6 separate regions of the Mus musculus genome follow, and all the other regions are reported to be linked to region 1. The links are microRNA targets in miRTarBase. Many come from high-throughput screens and were not tested one by one. Region 1 holds a microRNA gene; each other region holds the end of a gene's coding sequence.

Region 1 (5,075 bases):
TATGTAGCAAAGGATGGTCTTGTCAGGCATCAATAGGGGAAGAATACCTTGGCCCTGAAAAGACTCAATGCCTCAGTATATGGGAATGTAAATGCAGGGAGGTGGATTTTTGATGGGTGGGTGGGAGAACACCCTCATAGAAACAGAGGGGTGGAGTATTGGAGAAGGGGTTACTGTGTGAAAAAAGGGGAATGGAGGATAACCAATAAGTTAAGAAAATAGCCTATGAAAATAAAAAAAAATAGAATAGAAAATCCACACATTAAAAGTTCCACATATACCATATTTGAGTGTCAATAACCACAGCATATTAACACAGTTTTGAAAATTGAGTTGAATGAAATATTTTTCAGATTTATGTGACACTGCAGCATTTCATACAAACTGAGTACAGGTGGAGTAGGGCATGGGCAGAATACTAAATTTAGTATTAAAATAACTCTTTGTGGAAGCATGAAAATATAATATAAACATTAAATTATCAAGGAACAGCCATGCACTGAGCATACAACAGATAATTTGGATAAGGAAACAAAGGCACATCACAATGGGTGAGCAGGCAGCAAAAAATTGTAAGATAGACAGTCAGGTGAAAAGGAAACTGAGAATCTCTGGCAAATAACTTAAAGCTAGGAAGAAGGAGCCAGAAATAGGAAGATTTCCAAAGTCACAGTGACTTTTTTTTATGTTTGTCAGTGTAGAATGAATATGTTTAAAACATTTTTTACCCTCTGCTTTTAATAGCCCTGCTTCCTTCCAGGAAGCCAGAGAGGAGCCAGTGAGGTATGAATCAGCACTGACGGAGAGCTCCAAGTATTCAGCAGGACTTGATGTCCATGTCTACATATGGGATTTCTCTCCTGATTGGATCTGATTCAATTCTCTATTTGAATACACATTCTCAATCAATCAGAAGCAAGGAGAGCAAATAAATTTGTCTGCCAGGGAAGATTTCATTAGTCTGGTTGCTGGCTATATTCCAGGACTTATCTGGTCCTGGATATAACCACTGCCAGACTGAATGGTGCTAAAGAGAAGGGAGAGTGCTTGTGTCACTGTCAGCAGACAGCGCCAGTGAAATCATCAAAGCCTGTGCTTGTTTATTTCAGAGCCTCAATGCACTGATTGCTTTGGTCGTTTTGTATTGTAGCTGTCGCTCTATGGGAGATTCGGAGAATCTCTATGGGAGATTTGGAGAATGACACACTTTTCTCAGTCATGCTGGAATATGTCTTCTGCAAAGAAGATACAAGATTCAATCTCAGCTTGTGACAGAGACTAAGAAAAATTTTCACATTTTCACAAACTTAGGTTAGACACTGTGAGAAGTGCTGTGGAAGCAAATGCCTGCTACATACCACCATGGAGTCTCTGAAAAATCTTGATGTAACTAATAGACACAGATACTACCTTACTCAGGAACTAAGCATCCTTAGGGCAGTGATTCTGGCAGCAGGTTTTTATTTATGGTATGAATATTCAACAATTGAAACATTGTTTATAGTGTTATTTTATATTTAATATACTAGAATCTTGAGCATGTATGTTCTTCCAAGCCACTTCATTACTAACTATATGTTCAAGAGAGTCATGGGTCCTTTAGGGAAATCAATATATCATCCATCTCCTGAAGATCTCCACCTTGGTATTATATACACTATAGAAATGAAATGAGCACAGAAATTTTCATGGGGAACTTGTACTAGTGACTCCTTTGAGACCTATATTTTTTTTCTGTTATTTCGAATCTGTCTTAAGAGTCCAGGTCACTGTTGTATATCCTTGACATTTCTGAAATGTATTACTTTTTTTTTCAGATAATCTTTACAGTAGTAAACGAATTACAATTGTATGTACATCAAAATAATCTCTGTCCTCTTCATGAGCACACTTTAATTTTTACTTCACTTTACATATGGTTTTGATTATCTACAGTCCATGAACAATGTTTTCAACTCTAGATTACACTTAATACTCTCTCTCTATATATATATAAGAGACAGTTGCCGGGTGGGGGAAAAAAGAGACAGTTGTTTATTTTGTTATTTTGTTATTGCTCTTGTCCTTTACTAGATTTTCTTGGCTGATATTCTTCCACATCAGTTCTTTGCTATATAACAGCTCTTTAGAATCCGGAACCCTTTACAGAAATCAATAGATCATGTCCAGATCATCTCCAGCTGGTTAAAACGCAATATAAAGGAAGAAATGGATACAGTAATTTTCATTGTGATCTTGTACTCGTAGATATCTTGAGTCCTAAGATTTCTAATTATTTTCATTCTGATTTTAGAGAGCAGGCCTCTGTTATATATTCTGGATATTCATGAACCAGTATTATTTTGAATAATATATTCCTGACAGTAGAAATCACATTAATCTCTATATGCATCAGAAAATGGCATGTCTTCTTTCAAACTACACATTATATTTTCCTACACACAATGTTTTGTTTTACATAATCACAGCATATAAATATTGTTTTCAACACTGAATTTCATTTAATATTGTTCAGATTTTTTGAGACACTTGAGCATTTCATGAAAATTGAGTATTTAGGAAGCATAGTATGGGCAGAATATTGAAGTTAGGATTCCAAATCCTCTCTGAGAATACACTATTAAACATTATTGTACTAGGAAAGGTTACAATCAGAACATAAAACAGAAGCAATAGGGGAAGAAGATACAGGCACATCACGATTATTCAGCAGGCAGCAAAATTTCAAGATAATAAACAGTCAGAAAGGCTTGAAAAAAGCAGGGGAACTCCCACAAAGAGCTTAAATTTAGGCAGATGAATCCAAAAATCAGAACATACTTAACGTTCCACTATCTTGTATTTCTGTTGGTTTGTGTAGAGAGAAGGTTTGTCTGCCATCCACTATCCATTTTTCTGCTTTCTTTGGGGAAACCAGGGTGATGTGCTTGAGCTATGAATCAGCAGCATGGATGGAGATCTCCAAGGTTACAGCAGCATTTGATGTTCATGCCTAGAAATGAGATCTCTCTCCTGATTGGGTCTGATATCATTCTCTATTTGAATACACATTCTCCATCAATCAGAAGCAAGGAGAGCAAATAAATTTGTCTGCAGGGGAAGATTTCATCAGTCAGGCTGCTGGCTATACACCAGGACTTATCTGGTCCTGGATATAACCACTGCCAGACTGAAAGGTGCTAAAGAGAAGGGAGAGTGTTGTTACTGTCAGCAGACAGAGCCAGTGGAAATCTTCAAAGCCTGTGCTTGTTTATTTCAGAGTCTCCATGCACTGTTTGCTATGGTCCTTGTTTTGTATAGTAGCTGTCAGTCTATGCAAAATTCAGATTTGGAGATTGACTTACTTTTCTCAGTCGTGCTAGGATATGTCTTCTGCAAAGAAGATACAAGATCCAAGCTTCAGCTTGTGTCAGAGACTAGGAATTTTTGGAAATTTTTATATTCTTAAATTAGCCACTGTGAAGACTGCTATGGCAGCAAATGTCCTCAACATGCCAACTTAGATTCTAAGTAAACTCAGATGTAACTAACCAGCAAACATACTACCATTCCTCGAATCCAAGCAGTATTGGGTCTGTGCTGCTAGTAGCATGTTACCTGTAATGGCCACAGACCTTCAACAAGACAACTATTGTTTGTTTTCTTATTATTCTTATCCTTTACTAGATTCTCTAGGATGTTTTTCTTCCAGGTCAATTCTTTGCTACCTCAGAGCTCGATAAAATCATAAGCCCTTTACAGAAATCAATAGATCATGTCCAGATCATCTCCAACTGGATAAAACATGACATACAGGAAGAAATGGATGCAGTATTTTTATTGTTATCTTGTACTTGTGGATAACTCGAGTCCTAAGTTTTCATGTTATTTTAATTCTGTGTTTAGAGGTCAGGTCTCTGTCATATAGTGTAGATATTCATGAAACTTTATTATTTTGATTTATACATTCATGACAATAAAAAAATCACATTAATCTGTACATGCATTAAAAATGCCATGGTATTTTTCAAAACACATATTTATATTTGTACACACAATGTTTTGTTTTGGATAATCAAAGCATTAAAACTTGTTTTCAACACTGAATTTCTATTAATATTTTTCAGGTTTTTGAAACACTCCAGTGTTTCTTGCAAACTGAATACTTGGGGAGCAGGGTATGGGCTGAATATTGAACGTTGTATTCCAAAACCTCTTTGAAGATACCCTATAAAACATTATTGTACTGGGAAAATCTAAAACATGAATATACAACAGAAGCAATTTCCAAGGGAGATGCAGGCACATCAATATTTAGCAGGCCACACAAAATTTGCAAGATAATAATCGCAGTCAGAAAGGCCTTAAAAGAAGCAGAAGAACCTTGGCAAAGAGCTTACATCTAAGCAGAAGCAGCCAGAAATCAGAACACCCTTAACATTCCACTAACTTGTATTTCTGTTGGTTGTGTAGAGAGAAGAATGTAAAACCAGCTTTTTTCTCCATCCATTTTCGGTTTTTCTAATTCCTTTTGAGAATCCATGGTGAAAGTGTTGAGGTATGAATCAGCAGGACTGATGGAGATCTCCAGTGTTGCAGCAGGATTGGATGCCCATGTCTACATATGAGATCTCTCTCCTGATTGGATCTGATTTCATTCTCCATTTGAATACACATTCTCCATCAATCAGAGGCAAAGAGAACAAATAAATTTGTCTGCAGGGGAAGATTTCATCAGTTAGGCTGCTGGCTATACTCCAGGACTTACCTTGTCCTGGATATAACCACTGCCAGACTGAAAGGTGCTAAAGAGAAGGGAGAGTGTTGTCACTGTCAGCAGACAGAGCCAGTGAAAATCTTCAAAGCCTGTGGTTGTTTATTTCAGAGCTTCCATGCACTGATTGCTTAGCTCTATGTTTCGTATAGTAGCTGTCAACCTATGGGAAATTCAGGTATCTGATTTGAAGTGTGACTTACTTTTCTCAGTCATGAACGTTTGTTTCTTCTGCAAAGAAGATACAATATTCAAGCTTCAGCTTATGACAGAGTCTAGGGGATGTCTGACATCTTCAGATCTTTTGTTCAGGTCCTGTGAG
Region 2 (5,075 bases), not on the chromosome of region 1:
TTTGCCACAGGTGTACATTTTCTGCATACATGCTGTCTTGGATCCAGAAGACCCCATCAGGGTTTGCAAACATCTCTTATTCACATGCACTGGTCTTGTCTGCTTCATGGTTGTAGACTGTCTGTAACATACCTGAGCTAAGGTGTTCACTTCTGTTCTACTTCCCTAGGAATCAAAAAGATCAGAATCCCTCATGGACATTCATCATAAGAAGTTAAAGAGTAAGGCTGCTGAAGATAAAAACAAGCACCAGGAGAGAATACCATTTGACCGTGATAAAGATCTCAAGGTTAATCGGTTTGATGAGGCTCAGAAAAAAGCCCTAATAAAGAAATCCAGAGAACTAAACACCCGGTTTTCACATGGCAAAGGCAACATGTTTTTATAAGTAAGTGTACTTCAGTGAGGTACACTTATACTGATCAGCCTGAACCCCTCAGAATATACCTTTGTCAATAGTAATTATGTGCACAAATACGTCTCCTTTTGTATAAAGTAGATTCAGGGTCTACATTTTTATAAATTGTGACTTTTGAAAAGTTGGGGGAGGGGAGATAGTGGGAAAAAAAAGCTTTGTCTTCACAATAGCCCAACAGAACATTGCTACTAGAAAAGGGTTTCAATGAAGAGAAAGGGCTCTTCACAGAGTGTGGTGTGCAGCTTGAGGGGTCATGTGGTCCATTAGGGGCATTTGTGTGTGTTTAATTGTTCACTTGCTTGTTGATTTTTGAGACGGGGTCTCACTGTGTAACCTTGGCTGGCCCAGAACTCACTGTGTATACTACTAGCAAGCTGGCCTCAAACTCCCAGAGACCCACCTGCCTCTGTCCCCAAGTGCTGGGATTAAAGGTGAGTGCCACCATACCGTTCTTTGAACAACATTACAGTTAGAAAAACATGCATTGCTCCAGAAGGCCTCTGTAAGTTGAGTGTCAGCTGGTACGCCTTAAATATCCATAATCCCATGGGTCCATCTATGAGAGTCTGGGATGTTGGTTAAGGAATTGTGTGAGAGCTGAGGATGCTTCTTAAGTTCCTCGTGATTTGTAGTATCATGAAATAGATATCGATATTCAGGTGTGATTTTAAAGGATAATATGAACTTTAAAATGTTTTTCAGCTTACTGCATTGTTACATAAGAGAGATTTCCCCGTGTGATGTTTGTCTGGCCACCATAATTTGTTAGAGAATGATCTTTAAAAACATATAAATTTGCCATGGTCTGTATCCTTTAAAGTACTATGGGGACAGACAATCTGTGTTCTTATATAGAATGGAATGATTTTGGGTGTTCTTGGCTTTTCTTCATGTAATTATTTTAAGAGTCCATCCCCACAATACTACAGCCCCTAATTTTTTATGGTGTCTTACATGTTTCCTTAGTTCTGGGTGAGACTGTATACTCTCTACCACAGTCTGGACATTTTTCTTCAAATATATTTAACCTGCCCTAGAATCATTGTGTCAGGCTGTCTTAGTTAGGGTTTTACCTCTGTGAACAGATACCATGACCGAGGCAACTCTTGTGAGGACATTTAATTAGGGCTGGCTTACAGGTTCAGAGGTTCAGTCCATTAGCATCAGGGTGGGAGCATGGCAGCATCTAGACAGGCATGGTGCAGGAGGAGCAGAGAGTTCAACATCTTCATCTGAAGGCTGCTAGCAGAATACTGTTAGGATGAGGGTCTTAAAACTCACACCCACAGTGACACACCTACTCCAACAGGCCACACCTTCTAATAGTGCCACTCTCTGGGCCAAGCACATACAAACCATCACACAGGCCCTTGCAAATCCATCAATTTTAAATTTCTTAGCTTGTCTTCCAAACTGAACCTAGTCTATACAGAGCATGGGGGTTTGTCCTTCCTGCTGTTGTATTTATTTAGTTCCTGTCAGGTTAATTGTTTTTATTGGTTTTAAGGTAAAGAAGCTGTTTGGATTATCTCAGGTTAAGGAAATATTGTGATTTTAACAGTAAATATTTGTAGGGGAGGCAATCTGAAGGACATTATACTCACCTATTCTCATTCATGTGAAGTCTAGGATGCTGTCTTCATGGTCTCACCAAAGCTGCCTGCATCTTGGAACGTCACATGTGATCATCTGATTCATATATGTATATAGCACTTTGTATCTGGTTTACTGGAATATTAATTCTGGATGGCTTTTAAAAATAACCAAATAATCACTGGAAATGGGGAATCTGTACTCGCAACCACCCAGTGGGAGTATTATATGGTTTAGTGCTGTAAGCAATGCCTCTTGAGCTGTTAAACAGACACTCCTAATGAGGGAGAGAAAAGCTAAATGCGAATTCTGGGCATTTCTAGCAGGTTTTTTTGTTCTGCCGACTCTGTATTCTAGTTTTCACAAAGCATAGAGTTGTAATGGGAAAATGTTTTGATTCCCAATTCATGTGAACTTTATAAAAATTAGGCAAACTGTTCAAATTACAATATAAAGTATTTCTTAATAGTGGCACAATTTTTATACTGGTATAAACAGCCTATTCAAGGACTGCTGCTTCTTAAAACCTGAATTATTTTGAGTAAATTAAACAGACTTCTTGTCCCCATAGATTTAGATAGATCTACCCTTTGGCTAAAGTGAATGGGTTTCTGCATATAAAACTTTATACAAGAGTATTAATTCTGACTAGCATGGTCATGAGTGCCTTTAATCCCAGCACTTGGAAGGCAGAGGCAGGCATATCTATGTAAGCTCAAGGCCAGCCTGCTCTACAGAGTGAATTCCAGGACATCCAGTGCTGTGTAGAGAGACCCTGTCTCAAAAATCCAAGAAAAAGGAGTATTTATTCTGTCCTTTTCATATTGTGATTATCCCCCCCCCCATGAGAGGAAAATGTTTTTTTAGCTATTAGAAAACCTAACATATTTTGTGAAATTTGTTACTTTTAAAAGTTATTATGTGTAAGTACACTGTAGCTGTCTTCAGACACTCCAGAAGAGGGTATCAGATTTCCTTACGGATGGTTGTGAGCCACAATGTGGTTGCTGGGATTTGAACTCAGGACCTTTGGAAGAGCAGTCGGTGTTCTTAACTGCTGAGCCATTTCTCCAGCCTCTTTTTAAAGTTAAAATACTAAGAAATCAATCAATTTAAAGGAGGTAGCTGTCGGCAGAGCGTGTACAGCTCTTGCAAATCACCTGACTCAGTTCCCAGCACCCACACCTGGTGTCCACACTCCCTGTAACTCCAGCTGCACGGGGTCTGACCCCTCTTGGGGTCCATGGTCATCTGTGCCCATGTACAAAATGACACTCAGACTCATAACTTTAAAAATAATCTTAAAAGTAAAAATACCACTTCTGGACACTCATTGGCCTTGCTTTCTCAGTGGAAGGGGTTAGGAATATCTGTACTATGCTTACTATTTCCTGTGACCTCAGATAAAGGACAGCCCACCAGATGTATGATTACCTCGCTGGCACCCTGGAGCCAGTGCTATTTTCTGTTACCCAGATGACAGTTGCAGTAAAGTATATGCCATTTCCAGGGAGGTTTGGCCACATGGAGACATAAATCTCAATTAATATTGACCATAAAAAAATGAAGCAGCTCTGTGTGCATTACAGAAAGATGTTCCTCATATCATCCCATCTTCCAAAGAGCAGAGGCCTGCTGGAGTCCACTGCCCTGACAGTCAGCATTTCCTAATAAAAGCAGCCCTGCAACCCCTGGCCATGTTTTACAGGGAGTGAAGAAGAAAGGAGTTACTAGCACCAGGTCAAACCCTGGTGTCTCACCACTAACGTTGGCCATCAATTCCCTGGATGGCCTTGTCCAGGTCCGACTGCTCAGCCTCAAACAGTATTCACATCACTGGTGAGCAGACGGTTGGTTTTAGTAGTAGGGGAAGATGAGGGACTAAAACAAGAGAGGACCTGGCCAACCCAGGATAAGACTTTCAGATTGGCCTCCACAGGGAAAACTGAGCTCTGCTTGTGGGGTGGGGGACATAGTCTACATGAGTTTTTTCATTTATTTAGCTTTAAGAACACATTCACTTATTCATTTATCCTTTGTTAGGTGTGAGATTGCTATGTGTATAGATCTGAGCCTTCCATGTTTCAGAGTCACATAAATCATTCGCTGTTACATGATACTATGGTTCTTATGCAGACTAATCATGTTGATACCATTGTGAAATACATGACAGTGGTGCAGAGCTCATAAGCTCGAGGCCTCGTCCGCTTCCACTTCTCCATGGTGTTATTGGTGCTTCTAGAAAAGCCTCTCCAGGGCATTATACCTGAGAGGAGGAGTCTACATCGAGGAAAGTGGCTCCAGATGAGAGACCACGAAGCACCACCTACCTGACTTCTGCTGCCATACTGAGGCTTCGTCTGGGCTGCAGATACAGAGCCTTGTGCTGCTGTAGAAGAGCTTTTTGTTTGGTTGTTGTTGTTTTGTTTACAGCTTTAAAAACCCACTCTAACGGGGCCCAGGCATGTGGGTGAGCGTGAAGTCCTGGCTCCATCCCCAGTTCTCAGCACCACCCAGAAATTGTTTAACTGTGACCATGGTGTGTACAAGGTTGAAAGGTTGTATACTCCTTGTAGCCGTTTCATTTAGGAAAGGCTGCTTTTAGAAAAGGATCATTTTGAAGTATAGTTTTATATATACATATATGAATAAAATGTCCTCTATATCTGAGAAGTTGGAATCTTCCTTTTTTGTTTTTCTTTGTTTTGATATTCTTAGCTTTCCTGAAGCAAGCAGTACTGGCAGCAAGAATATCCTGAACAGGTTTCTTCTGGTTAGCCAGTCATTGTGGACTATTATGCAGGTGATGGGAAGGAGAAAAAGAATTCGGGTGGGGGAGGAGGAGTGAAGATGCTGGTGGCACAGACCTGCAACCCCACTATTGAGCCTAAGGCAGGAGAATCACAGGCTAAAGGCCTGCATGGGCTGCACCATGTTTTCCAGTTCAGCTGCGATGAGCGAGAAGCACTATCATGGAACTGACTGCAGGGTCAAAAGCCTGTGCTGGGACCATGGAGTCCATCTTACCTTTGATTCCCGCCAGGGTTCTAATGAAAATTCCAGT
Region 3 (5,075 bases), not on the chromosome of region 1:
CCCAAAGGATTATCATTCCTATTGGTCAGATCACGTAATAAATATAAACGTGAGCAATATCCGTTTATTTTATATGCACATCTAGAATTAGGACTCCTTACCAGAGCAGTGGAAGGATCTGAGCTGTGCTTATGTGACGCTGAGCAGCAGCTGTTCTCTTTCAACATGTCTGCTCGGATGTTCATGTGAATAAAAACAGAGGAACTGTGGTTTGTTTTCAAATTCCAGACTTCCATCTCTCAAAACTTCTGTCCTTCCACTCCTGACCCCTCAGAATCACTTGTCACTTAGCCATCCACAAGAATGCTGCTTAGGTTTCTTTGTGGGGGGTTGTTTTGTTTTTTCGTGAGCCCCTTATAAAAATACCTGAAGGCATTTGACAGTAGCCGAGTTCCTGCTCCGAAGCACATGCAGCCCCATAGCCTTGGGAACACTTGCTCTGCTAGCCCTTCTGAATCACACTGGAACTGGGCTAACTGGCAGTAGCAAATTGTGTTCTGTTTGGCTGATTGGTGTCCCTGCCTGCCTTCATTGTCAGCTCACAGCTGAGAATCTAAGGACAGGAGACAATAATTAATATTCCACAGGGAATTCAGGCCTGAGGCTAAAGCTCCAAATCTCTTAACTACAGGAAGGAAGGAAGGAAGGAAGGAAGGAAGGAAGGAAGGAAGGAAGGAAGGAAGGAAGGAAGGAGCGAGCGAGCTGCTGCGTGAGCAGAACTGTCTAGACTCGAGTAGAGCTGAAGCCCCTTTCCTCGCCCTCACCTCTCTCTCCCTTGTGTCTGGGGATCTGGAGGATTGCTGGGCCCGTGAGTTATTAGGCATGATGTTTTCTTTTATTAGGTTGGAATGAAATACAGAAACCTAATCCTGAAGCCTGGGGGGTCCCTGGACGGCATGGACATGCTCCAGAATTTCTTGCAACGTGAGCCAAACCAGAAAGCATTCCTGATGAGTCGAGGCCTGAATGCTTCGTAAAGCAGGGACGCTGGGGGCTGTCCGTGGCTGGAGGACAAGCCAACACCGTCCGCCATGTGGTGCCGGCCTGGAGACTGAAGGCAGTTTTACAAAGGAAAACTTAGATTTCTATTCATTTGCTTTTGTTTCTTCATTTTAAAAATTATACAGATGTAAATGGAATTATAAATACTGTGACCTAAGAAAAGACCCACTAAAAATAATTGTACTATAAAGTTTCATAAAAACAGATTTGATTTCTTTTGATAAAAGTTTCATATGACTGTAATTTGATTTTTTTACTGTTATAATCCAGATAATATAATGTAAGAGGGCTAAGACATTTTAAATTGAATCACATACATGATATAATTTGATCTTTCTTATATCTTGAAGTTTTATACTTGAGATTCCTGGACTGATAAGTGAATCAGCATGTTCTCTCTGGTAAATATTTTCTCAGAGCCCTGTGTCAACCTTGACCCTCTGCCTCACAACTAAGTGACAGTTTGCCTGTGTGTGTCAAGGCCCGCAGGATACACTTCAATGCTGTTTGTCTTTTGTAGTGAGCTTTGTGATTCTCGGCTTCTGTCACACTTACTTACATAGCTCCACTTAGATTTGGGGTTCTTTCCCTTCTAAAATTTAATTTCTAAAGTTAATATTATTATTTAGATAATATTTTTAAATTTTGTTTCAACTGGCCTAGTATATAAGTTTTGTGTCTTGCACTAGAAGCTCAAATGTCAAGTCTTCGGTTGCAGTCACAGTGAGAGAAGCAGAGAACTTAGGCATCTTTTGGGTTCTCGACTTTTAGTATTTGCTATGTATTTGTTTCTGCTTGTTTTGCTTATATATATATATTTTTTTTATTTTGTTTGCTTGAGGCACCATCTCACCATGGAGCCAGATTCGCCTGGAACTCATGGTAATTCCCCTGCTTCGGCCTCCCAAGCCTTAGGGGCGCAGGTGTGAGCTGCCTCACTCAGCTCAGTTCTCACGTTTCTAATAAGACTCTGACCTTGCCTCCCTGAAAGTGGTAGGTCGGCCCTGTAGTCACAGTGTGTTGAAGTGCCAGGGGGAGAGATGACATCCACTGGAACTTAGCTTTGAAAACTCCAGAAAAGAGTGCGTTGGAGCAGAGCGTTTGCGAACAGCTGCTCCCAAGTGTTCCGTGGGCAACCGAGCTGTGGGAAAAGGCTGTCCAGCAGGCTGTTTCATATGGCGACTGTTAAGTGAACCTCCAGATCTCCAACTCCTTTTATTGGGACCTAAGTTTCCAGCTCAGAGTAGTGAGCTCACAGCATTATTTTAGCCTTGGGAGTCTACTCCAAACGGAAGCCAAGTAGGATAGAGAGGAGAAAATGTAAATGAGCTGTGATCGGACTTTCCACAGGGCTTTGAGTTGTTTCTCCACACATACCTGAGGAATGACTTTCCTGGCAGGAAACGAAATTAGAGCCTGTCTGTTCTTTAGACCCGGTGGACTTTGTGTTCAATAAAATATTATGTCGTGTAATAAAGTTATACAGAGTACCAAGAGCTGGTACACAGCAGGGAAGCCCTTTGTTTATGTAGTTTGATTTGATTTTTACAAGGCTGGGCATCAAACCTCCGGCTTCTTCACCCATGCTAGCAAGTGCTATGCTCTCCCAGCTGCTTTTATGGTGGTGGTAGAAACCTCTGGAAGCGTCTCACATCTGTCCCCACCCCCATTTTTGTTTCCTACTTTCAGACAAAAAAAAGGAGAAAAAGAAAGAAAAAAAAAAACTCTCTTCAGCTTTTTCTATTATTGCCCGGTTTGTCTCCTTCAAAAATAACTTCATCATAAATCTTACTTTACTTGGAAAAGCTAATAGCCAGTGTGTAAAAGACTGACTGCACACAATAAAGTGACATCATTGTCCGTGAGAATGAGCTCACAGTACTTTTGTCTTTTAATGTTAAAGGCACAGCGAATCAGCCGCGCAACCACCCCTCGTGTTGTGTTTATAGGTGGATGCCACCACCCTCTGCTTGGGCTTCTATTTGGTTGGATATTCCTGCATGTTCCATTTCCTCATAAGGAACAGGTTTGGTACCCCTGTTCCGCTGTGCTCGTCCTCTGTTCTCAAGCTTTCCACCGGCGATTTTCAGATACCCAGAGGCAGCTCTAAAGTGTTCTTCCCAAGGTACAATGTCTGCAGCGTTTGTCATCAGAGAAGCTGGATACCTAAGAAAGTTTTATAGAAAGTGCTCACTGTGCCCATCAAGGTACTTGGTGTCTCTGTTGACATACCTTTGTGCTTGAGAGATAGGACTGGATAACTTTGGCTAAGTGGATTCCTAGCTATTGAATAAAGAGGGGGAATAGCAAGTCCTTTGGCTAAAAGCAAGAAAATCCACTAAAAAATACTAACATATAAATAACAGCTGGAATAGTTATATATGAACATGTTATTAAAATTGAAAGATTCCTCTACTAAGACAAACATAAAACAAAATTAATCAAGTCCCATTGTCAGGTAGAGGCAAAACCTCACTGTGATGATGTGACTTGGCAACCAAAAGTCTTGGTGACCTTCTAGCCAAATATCAGTAGCAGTTCACTGTTTAGCACATATAGGGAGGGGCCTGTGGGAAGCACAAAGCCTTTGAAGAGGGAACTGGAAGATGTTTGTATCCAGATCGAAAGTCCCTCTGGATCCCAATATGGTTAGCTCCCATAAGGAATGGGCTACTATGACCCATCCTAAGAACTACATTTTCAGCAGGCTTGTATTAATTAGCATCACAAGTGTTTGAGAAACCAACAATATGGTGATGACTTTGGAAATAGCCCTCAAGAGGAAAGTTCGTCTGGAGAGTGAATTCTCAAGTGAATTCTCACTGTTTCAAATACTTACACACTATGGGAGAGCTGATGTCATGGCTAACGGTGTTGGAGCTTAAAGGTACAATTAGAAAATAGAAGACTTCAGTATGAGGAACAGCTCCTAACTGTTGACTGAGACGCTTTCTGCTGCTGTTTGTGAGGGTTCATAAAGAACCTGTGTCCTCCATGGGTGTTACAGACATTTCCTCCACAGGTAAGCTTTGAGGTTTCTTTCTGTAGTGGTCAGGGAGACATAACTTGGGTGACAGGTTCGTGTTCTGCATCTTAGGGCACTGAGAACCGGGGATATGGGTTACTGGATAAAATACCTGCTGGGCAAACGTGAACCCCTTCATCTACAGAAAAGCCAGGTATGGCAAGAGATGCTACTACTGTGCCAATCCCAGTGCTAGGGGGATAGCAAACAAGCCAGCTCCATGGCCAGCCTAGACAAATCCGCGAGTCCCAGTGTAGAGGACCAGTCTCAAAACATAAGAGGAAGATAACCAGTATCAGTCTCTGGCCTCTAACATGTACTTTGGCACACACAAATGCACATGAATGTGCACACACAAATAGAAAAGGCGTTGACATAGTGTAGCTTCCCTTATGCTACAACCAGACCGGTTATAGTTCGTGTCATAGTTATCTGTAGTTAGCCTGCATAACTTCAATTGGAGCTTCTCAGGCTTCCCTGGAATCTGATGTCATAGTTGACATCGATAGTCAAGTTGATTCAAGAACCCCTAGTAGATTAACCTCTAGTTGTGTCTACAAAAAAAATTTCCAGGATGGATTAAGAGAGGAAAGACCTATGTTCAGCAGCCTTGGAGTCCACGTGTAATAAAATGGAAGAGGGAAACCTGAAGAGCAGGCCTCTGCGCCCTGATGTCCACAGTGTGAGTCGCTCTGTCTCATCACACCCTCCCTTTCTCATTAGATTAGGTCTTCTGAAATCATTGCCCCTCCCCCCAACTCCTAATCCCTTCTTTGAACTTTCCTGCATTTGCTCACAGCAGTGAGAAAGTCTGTTGTTTGGAATGAAGGATGGAAGACTTAACAGTTGACTGTGGCCAAAATAGAGGCGAAAGCTCTTCAACACAAATAAAAGTTAACTTTTCTTCCCTTAGTGTGTTTCTACTCGCCCCATACTGACTCCACACGCAGCTGTCTCATGGCACATTGCACCCATTGGTCTAGCCCTCCTCTACACTGGGATCCTGGCTGCTCCTGCTCACGGCCCTCCAGTCTTCAGCTATCAGTGA
Region 4 (5,075 bases), not on the chromosome of region 1:
CCTAATTTCCATATGCTGTATATCTGTGTGTATAGATGTTTCGATCTCTGAGGAAGGATAATAATTTATCTGGAGCCCAAAATATTCATTTTAAAAAAAAACAAAAAAACAACAGGCCATTTGGTGGTCTTCTGCTGTGATCAGTGAACTCGTTTTCAGTTGAGCTTATTAAAATGGCAGGAAGTATTATTCCACTGTAGTGTATACTGCTTCCTTGGATGGTCTTGAATTTTCTTAACTTTCAGCTGATAGAACTTATTCAGTGGTGAGTCAGCACAGGTATGACTGAATTTTGTTAGAAATGAATTTTTTGTTGTTAAATTTTAAACATTGGTCAGTAATACTATTGAAGTCAAATCTACTCTGCTGTTTACTTTATTTTGAAATTGTGCCTCTTCCACAGCCCAAAGTGGTCACAGATACAGATGAGACTGAACTTGCAAGGCAGCTGGAACGGCTGGAGAGAGAAAATGCAGAAGTGGATGGAGATGATGATGCAGAAGAAATGGAAGCCAAAGCTGAAGATTAACGTTTTGGCAAACAGTCCAATTTAAGGAGTACGAAGCAGCCCTTCCTGGCTGTCAACCCTAGACTTGAGAGTTTTCCAGTATTGAAAACTTCAAAGCTGAATATTTTTATTTCCAAGTATTTAAGTATTCAACAAGCCAGAATCTAAATGCCCTCCTTCATGTCAGCTGTTTCCACATAGTGGCTCTAACACCTCAAGCATTTTTCAAGGGAGTGGCTTGATTTGACCAGAGACAAATCTTAAACAGCAGTCCTAATATTGGGCCTACAGTTTCCATTTCTCATGTCTCTGGAATGGCACCCTTATGGTTCAGAGATTTACCAGGGACTCCAAACACAAACAATCCCAATCTTTCTATATAAAATGTATTCAAGCAAACATCAAATAAATTTCTGGGATATTTAATTGTAGGCTTCTTCCTTCTTGTCACAAGTTAAAGCCAATCTGAATGCTCAGATCCTAATTATCTTCATATGGTAGAACTCAATGGGCAAGTAACTAAATGACTTATGCAGGAACAGACTCTCCAAAGGAATGTTAGAGAAGAAATTAGGAATTTGACCCCTGGTAGAGAAAAACCTTGAAATCAATTAAAGATTTATGTGCCTGTTAACTTACTTGAAAGCAGTGATAACTTGTGTGAGAAGTCATCACACTCAGTCCCTTTGGTTTATTCTAAGCTACTTACCTTGAATTCATAATTCAAGGGGTATTTTAATGTGCTGCTGCTTTGATGGAGTTATTTTGAGCAGCATCACCCATCTGAAGGGGACAGTTTCCTCTATCTGGTAGGTGCTACCTAATTCTTGAGTTGTGTGTATGTGTGTGTGTGTGTGTATATATACATACATGGTTTTATATATATATAAACCACACATGATGTGATTTAACAAAATTTTTAATCCCATTTTTACCTTCTCAAACTAGCTACTTTAAAGGTTAATGTGCAAAATAATTTTTTCAAATAACACAAAGTTACAGCTACAATATCACATGTAGAAAGTCTTCATTTAGTTTGGCATGCTTATCTTAGGATATGTATACTATTTATTATCTGTAAGCAAACTTGAAACTAAGTCAGTCCAGGACTAGACATCATGGGAAGAGTTCTAGAGTTGGGTACAGAAGCACATGCTGATGGCTCCAGTACTTGGAAAGTTGAGGAGGGAAAATTCCTTGAGCCAAGAGTTGCTGATCAGCCTGGACAACCACTGCAAGACTCTGTATCAAAAGGATTGGAAATTAGAATGTTGAGAGATGTTTTATGCCATTTATGAAAGTTCTTTTGTTTAATCTACTGGTCTAACCTTGTGTGACCCATTTCCGAGGAGCCATGCTTGCTAGTCTGCATACCATGTTGCTAGTATTTAGGGACTCTGAATGTACTCCAGATTGGCTGACTACAGCAGTGGTTCTCAACCTTCCTAATGCTGGGACCTGTCGATACAGGTCTTCACATTGAGGTGACCCCCCAACCATAAAGTTATTTTTGTTACCACTTCATAACTTTAATTTTGCTACTATTATGAATCATAATATAAATATCTGGTTTTTGATGGTCTAGAACAACCACTGGTCATGCATCAAGAAGCAAGTTTAGGGCCAGGTATGGTAGTGCATGCCTTTAGTCCCATCATAGACAGTGGCAGTTGGATCTCTGAGTTCAAGGCATAGCTGGTCTATATATACCAAGTTACAGGTCACCTAAGACTGCATAGTGAGACTGTCTCAATTTTTTTTTCAAGTTTATAAAAGAACATGAAGGTGTTACCAAAGCTGCAATAGTAACTGTAATCTCAGATAATTCAGAGACAGAATACACATATTTTAAGGATTTAGAAATATAGCTAAGTTGGCCTGGTGCATAGCTAGCAAGTCAAGGCCCTGGGATCAATCCCCATTACCACAGAAGAAAAAATGTATTATCAAGTATAGCAAGCGCCCTTTTCCTAGGGATTGTTTACTGAAAAGTTTTATATTTAAGAGAACAATTTAGTCAGGTTGGTGGCATATATCTTTAATTCCAGTACTTGGGAGGCTAGCCTAGTTTTCAAAGCAAGTTCCAGCGCTGTTACACAGAGAAACCCTGTCTCCAAAAAAAAATTTAAGCCAGCCAGCCATGGTAGTGCACACCTTAAATCAGAGCAGTCTCAAGACTGGGTCTACAAAGCAAGTTCCAAATCAGCCAGGCTACACAGAGAAACACTGTCTCAAAGAATTAGAAATAGCTTATGGCTCCGTGATAGATTTTAATCTATCTGAGCTTTGTTGCTAGGTTCTACAGTTGTGTAAAATGCTGACTAGCCTGGGAGATCAATACTGCAGTGATCCTGTGATGAAAAGAACAAACTAAGACACATTAGGCCAGGCAGACTCACCCAGCTGTGAGACTGAACAGTGTAAACAACACACAGAACTTACATATCTTGGTTCTCCCACCAAAGCCTTCTCATTAAAAATGCTAATAGTTCTGTTTTCCTTCTGCCATCGATTACAGTCATATGGTCCTTAATTTATACAACAAAATAAATAGACTTCATGACTCCTAACAATGATTTGAAACTAACTAAAACGAAACATTGAAACTGCTTTTTTTAATTAGTTTTATAACCAAACATAGCCAATTTTCATGAATATGTTCCAAGTTTTGGGGGGTTTATTTTGTTTGGTTGATTGGGGTTGTGTGTGGGGGGGGGTATTTCAAGATGTTCAGGTTCTTAACTGGAGCTCTAGAGATGTGCTGATCTTTGGGCCACTACTTAGCTATTGTACACCAGCCCATTTGTGTCCTGGGCATTTTTTTTTTTTTTTTTTTACAACGAGAACAATTAAAATGAGTAGGCATGAAAAAAAGCTGGGTCTAGCTAGACCTTGCCAGCTCCACTGCTTTGTCTCAAGCCAGTGCTCATCTGTTTTAGAACCCTTGAGAATCCTCTCACCCATAGCTATGGGAAGCAGGAAGCTATCAAGCCAAATGTAGTTTAATTCCGATAAGCACCTGTCAACATTCTAAAAGTAACTCTAGGTACATTAAACCTGGAAAGATGCCAAATGAAAAAAACGGTGCTTGAAAAGGCAGTCTCTTACAAAGTAAGGAGTAAAGGGAGAAACAGACAAGTTCTTGGGATTCCAAACACGGGGTCAGATATTCCAGACGTTAAGAGGAAATCTATTTTAAGAGAAGTTTTTACTTAGACACTTTAGAAATATCCACTCCCCTTAAATGTAAGTCATGTATTTTATCTATTAAAGTCCAAGCCATTGTCCTTGGCAAGAATCCTGGCCATCACTGCCAGATCACTGTATACATTTAATAAAAAATATTTATAAAAACACTGTATGATACAGACTTGTCACTTTAACCCCCAACTGGGGATGAGCTAATGTTCATTTTTAGACCAAAGTTTTATACCTTGAGTTAACTTTTGTCATTTGTATCCTTGTCGTTTGGAGAGCTGAGGCTCCACATCTTTCTAAATGTCCATTTTATATAAAAAAAAAAAAAAAAGCTGTATTTCTGCCTTTTAAAAAATATCTGCGACAGATTTCAAGAGTATGACATCTGCAACTTGTGATACCTACTGTCTTACAGTACAAGACAAACAGTATCCTCTGAACAGACATCTGTTTGTCAGCATCCCCACTTTAAAGTGAGAAACATCATCCTGGTGACAGATCACCAGAGATTCCTCCACAACCAGCTTCCGTAATACATAGGGCCTCACAGGTTAGAAACCTGTGGGAACCAGAGAACTAACTACAAGAACCATAACAGTCAGGGACAGATGTCATTCTTTATTAATCCCAGAGATACTGAGTTGTTGAAATCAGTTGAGAGAGAGTCTTGAGACTAGAGTATTTAATACAGAAAACCGGAGTTAGTGTTCCAACAGAGAAAGAGGTACTACTATTGTCCCCAAAGACAGATTTCTGTCCTGAAGAGCAAAGTCAAGATGCTGCCCACCTAACAGCTGGTCCATCTTTTAAAGTTGGTCATAGGAAGGCAGAAGGAAATCATCGCATCCCCGCTGTCATCTGAGGAGCCACTTTGGGCAGTCTTACTCCAAAGCCATGCAACATTTATAATGATAAGGTTTTTTTGTTGTTGTTTTGTTTTTTTAACAGTACCAAGAATTGAACTCAGGATGGCCAGGCAAGTCCTCCACCACTGAGCCACATCCCCAGCCCAGTATCTTGTACTCCAGTTCTCCAGGAAGTCTTATCTGTATCCAATGATGAGAACCCTGGTCCCGCTCCTTTAGATCATGTTAGCTTCTTGATAGCTTCAATCCATTCTGCTCGCTCAGCCTTGCTGCTGGCCTGGATATAATAGTGTGTGTCATCCTTCGTAATCACTTTGAAGAGATTTCCTTGGACATTCCCTTTAACTCCTACACAGGGGAGAGGAAAAGTATTGAATATCCATGTCAACTTCCAGCTTGTATTTCCACTCCCTATAGCCATAAGGTCTGCCAGTGGTTATTCTAAAAGTTTGCAGCTTGCTTGCTTGCTCCTGTGCTACTCACAGACCTACAGTTTCACATCA
Region 5 (5,075 bases), not on the chromosome of region 1:
TTTGGGGGCTAGAAGGCAGAAGAAAAAACACCAACACATAGTGATCAGACAAATGTGAAATACATGGAAATCTCTTGGTAAGAGGGCAGTCAAAGGGCAGATGTCTGCTCTCAGAATACAAGGACTGATCCTTTGCCCAAAGCTTCCCTGATAAGCCAGGCAAAAGCCCTGGTAAGTAGAACACTACCTGGGCTAAGGTAACAACAGGGAAGCCAGGCTCAGATGACACGCATGGGGTTCATCACAGAGCAACTCAGTTCTAAACTAAAGGAAAACTTGCATCCAAGAAAATGACATGTGGGAATGCCCACCAACTGTTACATGGTACTCACACAGGTATCTCCGGTTAAGCATGTCAAACACCCGGCCAGGGGTACCCACGATGATATGGGGAGCTTCCATCTGCAGCTTCTGCACCTCAGCACGCACATTGGTGCCCCCAATGCAGGCATGACAAGAGGCACCCATGTAGTCTCCTAATGCCATAACCACCTTTTGTATCTGAATGCAGAAGAACATCTACATTAACTCGGGCGGTACCCACGTAATTCTCTCTCAATCCCAGCACTACAACCACAAATGGCAGTGCTGAATCCCACCACACAGGTTCACAGTAATTTCCCCACCCCTACATGCAGCCTTGTAAAAAAACACCAGGCCAGCTCTACAAAGGCTTAGAAATCACTCTCCACCCTACTACCACATTCCAAATCCAAAGGCTGGGATTATGAACATAGCCTTATACCAACAATGTGTGTGATTATTTCATCCCTGCCACAGAACCAAGACTTAGTGTTCCACTAGAGCCAACATCCCCAGCTGATGTGCAAACAAAACCCAAAATCTACAGGGCTCTAAGACGTCAATCCTCTTAATTAGCTTCAGGATTTTATGTGCCCTAGGCATGAAACAGCTTTGGCCACCAAGCCAGGCATCAAGCTAGGATGAACAAAGGACTGCCATTTGCTCTGCCCCTGACTGATATAAGAACAACACCACAAACAAGGTGCCTCTTTGCCCATTGCCAGGGGTGTGTCATAAACAGCTAAACCTGCCCAGCCAGCTAGATAGATTCTACCAATCCTCTTCCCCTTCCTCAAAAGATGCATTTTCTTTTTTCTTTTTGCTGGTAAAGTTGGTGGTAATTAGGTCAGCAAATCTCAATAGAACTAAAAGCTGTCAACAAGACCCAGTGGCATTAAGACAATGTCCTCAACCTTCTTCTAATTGTCTTATTTTTAAGGTAAACGTCATAGTACTGGCTGTCCTGGAACTAGCTCTATGGACCAGGGTGGCCTTGAACTTGCAGTGCTCAATCTACCTGTATCACTCACCACTAGTACTCTTCTCTCTTAAACCAGTCATATAGGAAACACACCAATCTCACCTGCTGAGCCAATTCACGTGTGGGTGCCAGAACCAAAGCCTGAGTGGCCTTTAGATCTAATTCAATCTGCTGCAGAATTGATATGGCAAATGTAGCTGTTTTCCCAGTCCCAGACTGGGCTTGAGCAATCACATCATAACCTACAACCAGATCAAGAATTAGATGTGCACCTTGGGATCAGAGGATATTTGAAACTTTACTTCATGACATCAGTAACAGAAAAAAGGTTGTAAATGAAATGGTAGAGGTTTGCAAACAAACTTTTGCCAAAATATTATGAACTCACAACAGCTTGTTAGACTAGATGTAGAGCAATAAAAACAAAGCCTCTAATTGGAAACAAACCCATGCATCCAAGGCATGACCTATGTACTAACAAAACTAAAAATCCAAGATCCAAGAAGGATGTTTCCTCCCGGTTGCTATGCCCACCAACTCCCTACCACTCTGTCCAGTCCAATCTAGTCCAGTACAAGTCTTACCCTTGATACAAGGAAGAATAGCTCGCTGCTGGATGGCAGAGGGCTTCTCAAAACCATAGGCATAAATACCACGGAGGAGGGACTCTGAGAGATTCATGTCATCAAAGCTATCCACAATCTCGTTCCAGTTACTCTGCAGGATTAGGAAAAAAAAAAACTTAGGCACTTCGAGTAACGTGTTTACACTAAAGCTGGAGTCACCTCATCCTACAGGTTGCTCTGTTCTACCACTCCAAATGTCTAAGGTCACTGTCACGCTAAGGAAGTGCCTGTTCTGACAAAATAAAGTGGGAACCGCAGGTTCTGGTCTTACCTCGATGACGCCTTCCGGCTCCATCCCGTCGGGGCCATTGTCTCTGGATCTGTTGATTCAAAGCACTAGTTTTGCTTCATGCCTTGACCAGAGTGGAAGCAACCAGCCCATTCCCGATCCAACTCCCATGTACTCCCAAAGAACCATCAAGAGGCACTTCATAGAGTGACGCTCCTTTAAGATCAAGCGGCTGTAAAGGACTTCATTCACACACACATTCACACTCTCTCTCTCTCTCTCATACACAAAACGCCGAGATGCGGTCTTTGCAGCCAGGCCCACATGTTCTAGGTCTGGTGGATCAAAGCGCGTGCACCTCCTGGATGAACACCAAGGCCACCGGAAGTCCCGCCTTCCACCTCCGAGTTCCGTGGGTGGGCCATCCCCTTCCCCCCACGTCATGCCGCCCGCGCCCTCCCCCACTCCCTCTGGCCGGCCCCCCTCCACAGTACCCGGATGTGGGAGGCCGCGGGCGGTGGCGGCCTCGCGCACAATGAGCCCCAGCCGCGCTCGCAAAGGGGGAGATTGCACAACAGACAAGCGAAACAGGCTGGGGGAGGGGAATCTCTCAAGCGGCCATGTGCTCATTCGCTCCGCCACTCGGCGGCGTCTCCCCCGCCATGGAACAATCCGCAACCCGCCCGCCCCCGTCGAGAAATGGCGTCGCCCTCCCATACCTCAGGCCGCTCACCCCCGAAGGAAAGTGGACCTGCCCATCCGCAGTTTGCCAATTGCCCGGCTTGTGCGGCAAAATGGACCCGCCCGCCAGGCGCCGGGTGGGTTCCCCGTGCCTCACGCGGCCGCTCCTCCGGGTTAGGCTCTTTCCTGGCCGTCAAGAAGGCCAGCGCCCTGATCGGCCGGTTTCTTCTTCCCCGACCCACATTCCAAGCGCGACGGAGGGACTCGCTGAAGACCGGGGCACCCCTGCTTGTCGCGAGTGGTACCGCCAGAACTCTCCGGAACCCTCGCTCGCACGCCCTGCCCGACACAGGGAGGCAGCCAGACCAGCCGGCTCCGGGCCGCGCAGCCGCCTCTTTCCCACGTTATGTCGCGACCTCATCTTGCCTTTCAGTATCCGAGCTTCGCGTACGGCGTTCCCACAGGCCGAGGCCTCGTGACGAAGCTCGCGCCCTCCGCCCTAGCCAGGTCGTCCTTCCCCGTAACCACACTGGGGTCAGCGGCGGCCATGGGAATCTCCCCCACCCCCCCAACCCCGGACGGTTCCTCCCGGCTCGGTTCTCCCGCAACCTGGTAGGTTCGGTGCGATGGGCCTCTCAACTTCCCCACGGCGGGCCCTTTGGAGGGAACTACGGGGTAAGTAGCCATAACCTTTTGCAAAAGCCTTTCTTACCGAGAATCCTGACTCGCAGACATGATCCTTAGAATCTAGGGCGGAGTGCCCGCCTATCGACAACTTATAGAGCGTCCGACCCCGCCCCAGCCATCGCATTGGCTTGGCCACCTCTGCCCCGCCTGCCGGCGCTCTGCAACTCGACGTGACGTTACTTTGTAGGCGCTTTAGTTCGGACGCCCTATTGGGTAGTTTGAAAGCCCATCATGGCCTAGCCCCGCCCTATGGCCTCATTGGCTGAAGGGTCCGCCTTTCTCGCTGGTGCGGAAGTGACATACTTAAGTCGGGCCTCGCGGCGGGGCAGCCATCTTGGAACCCAGCACCTTTACACGTGCGGAGGCGATCGTGCCTTAGTCATGTGGCTCAGCAGGTCCTATCAAGCGACGGGGGTGAGGCCTTAGCCTCCAGGAACTTCCGGGCAGTCTGGACTGCCACTTTCCTTTACCTGGGTTTTCTTTACAGGACAAGTTTTATTTATTCTTCCGTTCAGGAAAATATTGTAGCGATATCTCATTGGATAGTAAGTTTCCCCGACTGGAGACAAAAAGGATGGAACCCACTTTTGGGTTAAAGGGCATAGGGGGATAAGCTGTCAAGGATTGTCCCACTCAATCACTGGTTCATTTAGTATGTTTCCAGTTTCTCCTGGGCTTCCTTACATGAATAAGCGAGTCTTAATTCATATTTACTGCCATCTGCTCCCCGGGGATGGCATCTATCGAAAGCTGGACTCTCAAGCCCTGAAATGGGGATCGCTAACAGTGTTAGCTGGAAGAAGACCTGAGATAAAGCACAGCCACTATTTTGAGGCCCCTTAAGGAAGACCACCACTTGCATATCTTCAAAGGATCCTTTATTGACCAGAGCAGGACCGTGGCATTTTTATATATATTTATATATATAAAAAAAAGTTTGAAGATCGGGCAGGCAGTAATCCCTTTGCGCGTCCACCACCCCCACACTGTTTTCCTGCCCTCTGAACATGGAAGGAGGAATGGCTGCTCCACCTAGGCCACAAGGCAACATTCTCCTATAGAGGGAGAAAGAGGCTTGCTTTTATGTGGCCATTCCCTTCCCATCAGAAATCAATATACTCGCAGCAAAAAAAAACAAAATACAGAAACCAAACATTTAAATATGAAAATCCAAAGGGAATTGGGTAGAGAAACAAAAAGGAACTAGAGTTTCTTGGGAAGGGTCTCCCTTTCCCCTGCCCACTGATGGGCTAAGGGTCTGGGGTATGAGGCTCACACAGTGAGTTTGCAGTGACACAGTTCCTTGTAGATCTGACGACGGAGTTTGGGCATGTCCTGCTGGGTGAAGCTGAATGGCTGAGACAGGGCCAGGTGCTTGCAGTACTGGGTGTTAACAAAGTAGACCATGAGAACAGTTTACTGAGCACCCTCCCAAGTCAGGACCTGTGCTACACATTTCACACAAAATACATCTTAATTTCTCAGAAAATATCTGTTTCTCATACACACTGCCATTATAGACTAAGCCTGGGGCTTCAACAAGCCTACATAATATATCTGGTGTTTA
Region 6 (5,075 bases), not on the chromosome of region 1:
ATTTTAAAGATAGAAATATATAAAAGTGTGTGTGTGTGTGTGTGTGTGAGAGAGAGAGAGAGAGAGAGAGAGAGAGAGAGAGAGAGAGAGAGAGAATAAATGTATGTGAATCTGGACACCTGGGGGGGGGAGCTGGGAGTGGCCAGAAGAGAGTGCCAGATCTCCAAGAATAGAGTTGCAGGTAGATGTGCACTGCCCCGATGTTGGTCCTGGGGAATGAACTGAGTTCTGTGGCAATGGCCATGTCTCCAGCTCCAGAACACAGTTTCTTAGTCATTTAAATACTGGACAGCAGATGCATCTAATATTAATGTGGTTCAGAGGGCACCCGTTACAAATTTACTCTGTGCAGATACCAGTGAATTCTGTATCTCGGTTCTGTTTCTGGCCCATCACCAACCTGCCCGTGAAAAAACTATCTATGGGACAGGCCAGCAATGCTTTGATGGAGTGTTCCTCCCACACCATCCCAAGAGCTGTTGTGCTGTTTGTCGTTTATTCCCAGCTAACTGTTCTAACTTTCCTTGTCAATCTTCTCCCGCCAGGCGATGAATCCAGTGGCTCAGGCAGCGGCAGTGGTTGCATGGATGATGTGTGTCCCACGGAGTTCGAGTTTGTCACCACCGAGGCCCCGGCGGTGGACCCGGACCGCAGAGAAGAGGAATCTTCGGCCTCGAAGTTCAGCTCCTCCTTGATTTCCTGGTCTCTGGTCTGCATGGTCTTGGCCCTGCAGAGACTCTACAGATAATCGTGGGCTTTGGTCAGACGAAACTGCGTTTTAGCTCTTCTGTGGCCAACACCCTTCTTTTCTTACACTCTTGAACAATGGACCATGCCACACAACAAGCCGTTTTCTATGACAAGAGAGCAGTCTTGAGGTCTGCCTCCCCTTTTTGCTTTCCCAAAGAGTACCGGGTGCCAGATGGCTTGCTTCTCTTTCCGTCAGCTATCTGTGGGGACCTCGTTTATTCCAGAGAGAATTCTTACTCAAACCTTTCGTACCAAGAGATTGTTTTCTTACCGTCGTTTGCTTTTATGCTGCAAAATTAAAAGAATTTCATGTTGTGAGGGGGGTTTTGGTTTTGTTTTTTTTTACAACCCATTTAAAATAGGAAAAAATAATTTTCCGTTTCAAATCAGGCCAAACCCCAAGACAACTGCATTCTCAACAAGGAAACAAACAAAGGAGAGAAAATAAAGGAACTTTCATGCTATCAGGCTTGGCACTGACAGCCAACTCCTGGAGTGAGCTTTTCTGTGACAAGCGAGGTTTACAAAGCGCTTATGAGGAGAAAGCGTAACATTTTCATGTAGTGGAAATACACCGTTGTCTTGGAATCTAACCAAACTGATTTGAAGGTACTGATAGTAAATTTAGGACTCTGTCTTTATATGAACGGTAATCTTATGACAACTCAATGTCTCTCTTCCCACTGCCTGATCCCACCGCTCACTGATGGCAGCATTTTCTGTCTCCTAACGTCTGTCCGTTTTATCCAATTGACACTGTCTTCAGTTTTTCATAGATGCCCCGCCCCCATCTAGTCTCCTCTCTCCTAGGTCTTGACTCAAAAGTCATCTTCAGTGGTAACAATCTCTTCTTTCTCCAGACGGACATGAACCAGATGTCTCAGCTCCTGTGTTCCGGACCCTCCCCCAAATACGAGTTTTCTTACTGACATGACAATTGGCTCCACACATGAGGTTCTGTTACTGACTCTTTGTGTCAATTGGTCTCAGCATCACAAGGGCATTCTCTTAACATAACAACTCACAACAAAACAAGTCAAGACAAAAAGAGAGAGAGGATAAAACATTATATATAGTATTGACACGGAGGTTCTTTTCACTTTTTTAGTCTTAGTATGATCATCTATTTTTATATCTATATTATATATATATATAAATCACAGATTTTAACTTCTTAATTCCAAGCTCAGGGTTGACACTCCTTTGTAACAGAACTGTTTTGTCAACCGCCCCGTCTTGTTCTGTGCTGCTCAGAGAACAGACTCCTTAGTGATCTTCGAGCACCAAGAATCAAGAGCGAGAACTTTTTATGTATCTAACTGTCCATTGATGGCAAGTTTGCCAGGGCACACCCTTCTCACACACACTTGCTTTTCCCCTGGTGCTCCAAACTGTCCTGAGCTCATGGGACAAGCCTGGTGTGCAAGACGTGACTGGTGATGGAATGTGTGTGTGTAAAGAATGTTATTCATGAAAAAAACAAAAAACAAAAAAACATTGCTCTCTGGTACAGCACCTCTGGCCTTGGACTTCTACCGGGTACTGTACTGAATGGCCTAGACTCAAGAGGCCATTTTAGAGCCACTGCCTAACCTGTCCACCAAGCCAGGCCCAATGCTTCCTCTGACAGAAGCGAAATACACCAAACTGGGGTTGTATGAAGACAGTTGGCTAACCACCTTCTCCTCCTCCTCCTCCTTCTTCTTTCTTCTTCTTCTTCTTCTTCTTCTTCTTCTTCTTCTTCTTCTTCTTCTTCTTCTTCTTCTTCTTCTGCTTCTTCTGCTTCTTCTGCTTCTTCTGCTTCTTCTGCTTCTTCTGCTTCTTCTCCTTCTCCTTCTCCTTCTCCTTCTCCTTCTCCTTCTCCTTCTCCTTCTCCTTCTCCTTCTCCTTCTCCTTCTCCTTCTTCTTCTTCTTCTTCTTCTTCTTCTTCTTCTCCTTCTCCTTCTTTCTCCTCCTTCTCCTTCTCCTTCTCCTTCTCCTTCTTCTGCTTTTATGATGCATCTGGGATAGGAAAAAGAAATATCTCAAGATACCACAGCATGCCAATCACATTTTTAGCTGACTCATCGACAGTATTGACACATAAATGATATTTTTCTATCTCTGTTCTCACCAACATGAAAATTAGTTACCGATTTAGTCATCACGTCTAAGTAGAACACACGCACTCATATTAAGTATATTTGAGCACTTTTGAAAGACAGAACGTATTTACAAGCATCTGTTACCACCTTATGCCTAACAGAATAAGCAATGTAGGATTCTGAGAGACTCTGTGGCGTTTTTTCATTTACATTTGTGTGACATTAACACTTTATCCAACTCAGAACGGTATCCTTTTGGGAAACCACCCAGCTCAGAACCCCACTTTGGCTTCTAATCCCCCGTTACACATAACACTTCTCTATGAAGGACCAGCCACTTATGTTAGGTGGCTCACTGTATGTTCAGAAATCAGTATGTTTTTTTCCAATAATCATGGTGCAATAGGAATTAAACCAATGTGGATTCTCCAGGATTTTTGAGAATAAGGACTTATTTTTACGGCTTTAAGCTCCAACTTCCTTTTAAAATATTTCTGCATTATCTTCTATAAAACAAATCAAGATATCACATTCCTTACTATGCTTCTGCCCCCAGATGGTTTACATGACAACACATTACATGAATGAATGTGAGCCCATGTCCTGTGCACACTCATCACACAAATAATATAGAAATGCCTGTTTCCTTTGACTCAGCACCTGTATTCTCAAGGGTACGACTACTGATAAGATACAGTGATGCCCATGAGCCAGGCAGAGCTGAGATGAGGGTCAGCTGACAAAGCCACATCGTTGGTCATCTTACACAGACATGGACAAAATGTTTTTAACGTGCCCTTCCTAGTCATTGTCACTGCCCGTTGTATGGTTTTGTAGACTGATTTAATGTTAAAGGTTTAATTTTTTTTTCCTGTCCCCTAAGCCTTTTCGTTCAGTTTCCCCTTTTCGGTACTTTGGGATCCTCCTCCCAGCTTGAGTTTCCCATTCCAGCACAGTGATAGGAGATGTCTCAATGTTCCCTTGTCACCCACAGCCTACCCTCATTTGTGACGATGTTGTCCCCTAAAATCTGTAATCACATCACGACTTGTGTTACGAGTAGAGAGGAACGGAACCCCAAAATTGGACACTAGAAACCGGTGGGTGATGCTCATGACTACAAACACTTAGCTTATCCAAGTGCCTCTATTTACATGTTCCTTAGGTTTAATATGTATTTTTCTAACAGAAATACCCGTCTGCAATTGATGTTTATTATACTTTGTATATGTTACAACAAAAGCTAAACGGAGGCTAATGTCTTCAGCAGAGAAGAATGAACTGTAAATTTATGAACACGAACGCTGTAGTCCTGTATTGGCAGCCACAAGACAGCTTTCTGTCTGTCACTGCAGTGAAGGCCAAGTTGGCACTTTGATTACAGCCATCCCCGACTATAGCACTAGAATTCTGACTTCCTTACTGGGATTTACCCAAGGAGGAAGGTGACGTGACTCATCTGCTTCAAACATAAAGGAGAGAAACTACTTTATCTACACCGAGAAACTCTATCCACTGAGGCACAACAGTAGTTTCAAATGGAGCATTCTTTAAATCAAACACATTGAAGATATTATTGGATGTAAAACCATGAAACTTAATTTACATTCCCTGCTATAGACATTAGCCTTCTTTAATTCTTCTTGCCATTATATACATATTTTGGCTCCAGACTAAGCACCAACTTAAGTCTTCAAGGAGGAATAAAACTTAGCAAGATTCTGGCTTGCAAATCTTTTCTCACCTCTCTGCAAGGCTGAGTACCAGGTGGTTTGACTTTCGGTTTCAAATGTTGGCAAATGCAGCTTTTGACTTCTCCAAAAGCTTTCAGATACTCAACCTCATTTTCTTTGACTTATAGTCACTAGCAGATATTTAAATTAAAAGAATATGTAGCCTTGCTGCCAGAAGAGCAAAGGAGTCCATAACTTATAAATCTGCAGTGTGTTCCTCCTTGGTAGTGATATTGGCCAGTGCTTAGTTTTAGGCCAACATATACAAATAGAGTATTGATTTGTACGCATTCTGGAGACTTGCTATGTCATAGTTTGCTATAGCCCAGACTCAGCTTAGCATGGGAATGCTTGGGACTTCACTGAGAGTGGAGTGGCTGCTGCAATCTTTGGCATTGCCTTGTAATTAGGGACTTCATGAGCAACACCTTAACGAGGGTACCACAGTGCGGTCTCTGTGTGCATATACAGAACTCATGTGCAGGATAAATGTGTGCACCAAGCAAAC

What was found. The annotated mature microRNA mmu-miR-344d-3p reads GAUAUAACCACUGCCAGACUGA and lies in region 1 at 3,152-3,173, shown strand. An mRNA with a match to its seed (bases 2 to 7 or 8) in the 3' UTR can be bound and repressed. Matches are read on the target gene's strand: a 7mer-m8 pairs with bases 2 to 8, a 7mer-A1 pairs with bases 2 to 7 and ends in A, and an 8mer does both.
Region 2: the mRNA of Gpalpp1 is a reported target of mmu-miR-344d-3p. Seed matches in the 3' UTR shown: 7mer-A1 at 1,266-1,272 and 7mer-A1 at 4,642-4,648.
Region 3: the mRNA of Nln is a reported target of mmu-miR-344d-3p. Seed matches in the 3' UTR shown: 7mer-A1 at 1,807-1,813.
Region 4: miRTarBase lists Eif2s1 as a target of mmu-miR-344d-3p. Seed matches in the 3' UTR shown: 7mer-A1 at 1,385-1,391.
Region 5: miRTarBase lists Senp3 as a target of mmu-miR-344d-3p. Seed matches in the 3' UTR shown: 7mer-A1 at 4,431-4,437.
Region 6: the mRNA of Gpc6 is a reported target of mmu-miR-344d-3p. Seed matches in the 3' UTR shown: 7mer-A1 at 1,817-1,823, 7mer-A1 at 1,891-1,897 and 7mer-A1 at 4,484-4,490.

Annotation. Positions count from the first base shown.
Region 1 is chr7:61,681,225-61,686,299 of GRCm38, reverse strand. Mir344d-1 (microRNA 344d-1) reads left to right here and starts at 3,108; the gene lies at 3,108-3,176. It overlaps Mir344d-2 (microRNA 344d-2), which reads left to right and starts at 949; the gene lies at 949-1,028.
Region 2 is chr14:76,085,841-76,090,915 of GRCm38, reverse strand. Gpalpp1 (GPALPP motifs containing 1) reads left to right here. Exons shown (of 8, transcript NM_026177.3): 8 at 170-4,684. The coding sequence ends at 388. Among named protein-coding and RNA genes, the nearest start is that of Gpalpp1, 22 kb to the left of the region's middle.
Region 3 is chr13:104,020,848-104,025,922 of GRCm38, reverse strand. Nln (neurolysin (metallopeptidase M3 family)) reads left to right here. Exons shown (of 13, transcript NM_029447.2): 13 at 843-2,484. The coding sequence ends at 977. Among named protein-coding and RNA genes, the nearest start is that of Gm30967, 14 kb to the left of the region's middle.
Region 4 is chr12:78,884,388-78,889,462 of GRCm38, forward strand. It overlaps Eif2s1 (eukaryotic translation initiation factor 2, subunit 1 alpha), which reads left to right. Exons shown (of 8, transcript NM_026114.3): 8 at 404-2,623. The coding sequence ends at 529. It overlaps Plek2 (pleckstrin 2), which reads right to left. Exons shown (of 9, transcript NM_013738.3): 9 at 4,310-4,920. The coding sequence ends at 4,793. Among named protein-coding and RNA genes, the nearest start is that of Plek2, 20 kb to the right of the region's middle.
Region 5 is chr11:69,668,746-69,673,820 of GRCm38, forward strand. It overlaps Senp3 (SUMO/sentrin specific peptidase 3), which reads right to left. Exons shown (of 11, transcript NM_030702.4): 11 at 4,365-4,891. The coding sequence ends at 4,781. It overlaps Eif4a1 (eukaryotic translation initiation factor 4A1), which reads right to left and starts at 3,678. Exons shown (of 11, transcript NM_144958.4): 1 at 3,534-3,678; 2 at 2,183-2,231; 3 at 1,870-2,002; 4 at 1,388-1,527; 5 at 333-501; 6 at 1-8. The coding sequence starts at 3,556. Gm25835 (a small nucleolar RNA gene) reads right to left here and starts at 250; the gene lies at 107-250. LOC115487892 (a small nucleolar RNA gene) reads right to left here and starts at 1,033; the gene lies at 890-1,033.
Region 6 is chr14:117,974,339-117,979,413 of GRCm38, forward strand. Gpc6 (glypican 6) reads left to right here. Exons shown (of 9, transcript NM_011821.3): 9 at 546-5,075. The coding sequence ends at 748. Among named protein-coding and RNA genes, the nearest start is that of Mir6239, 23 kb to the left of the region's middle.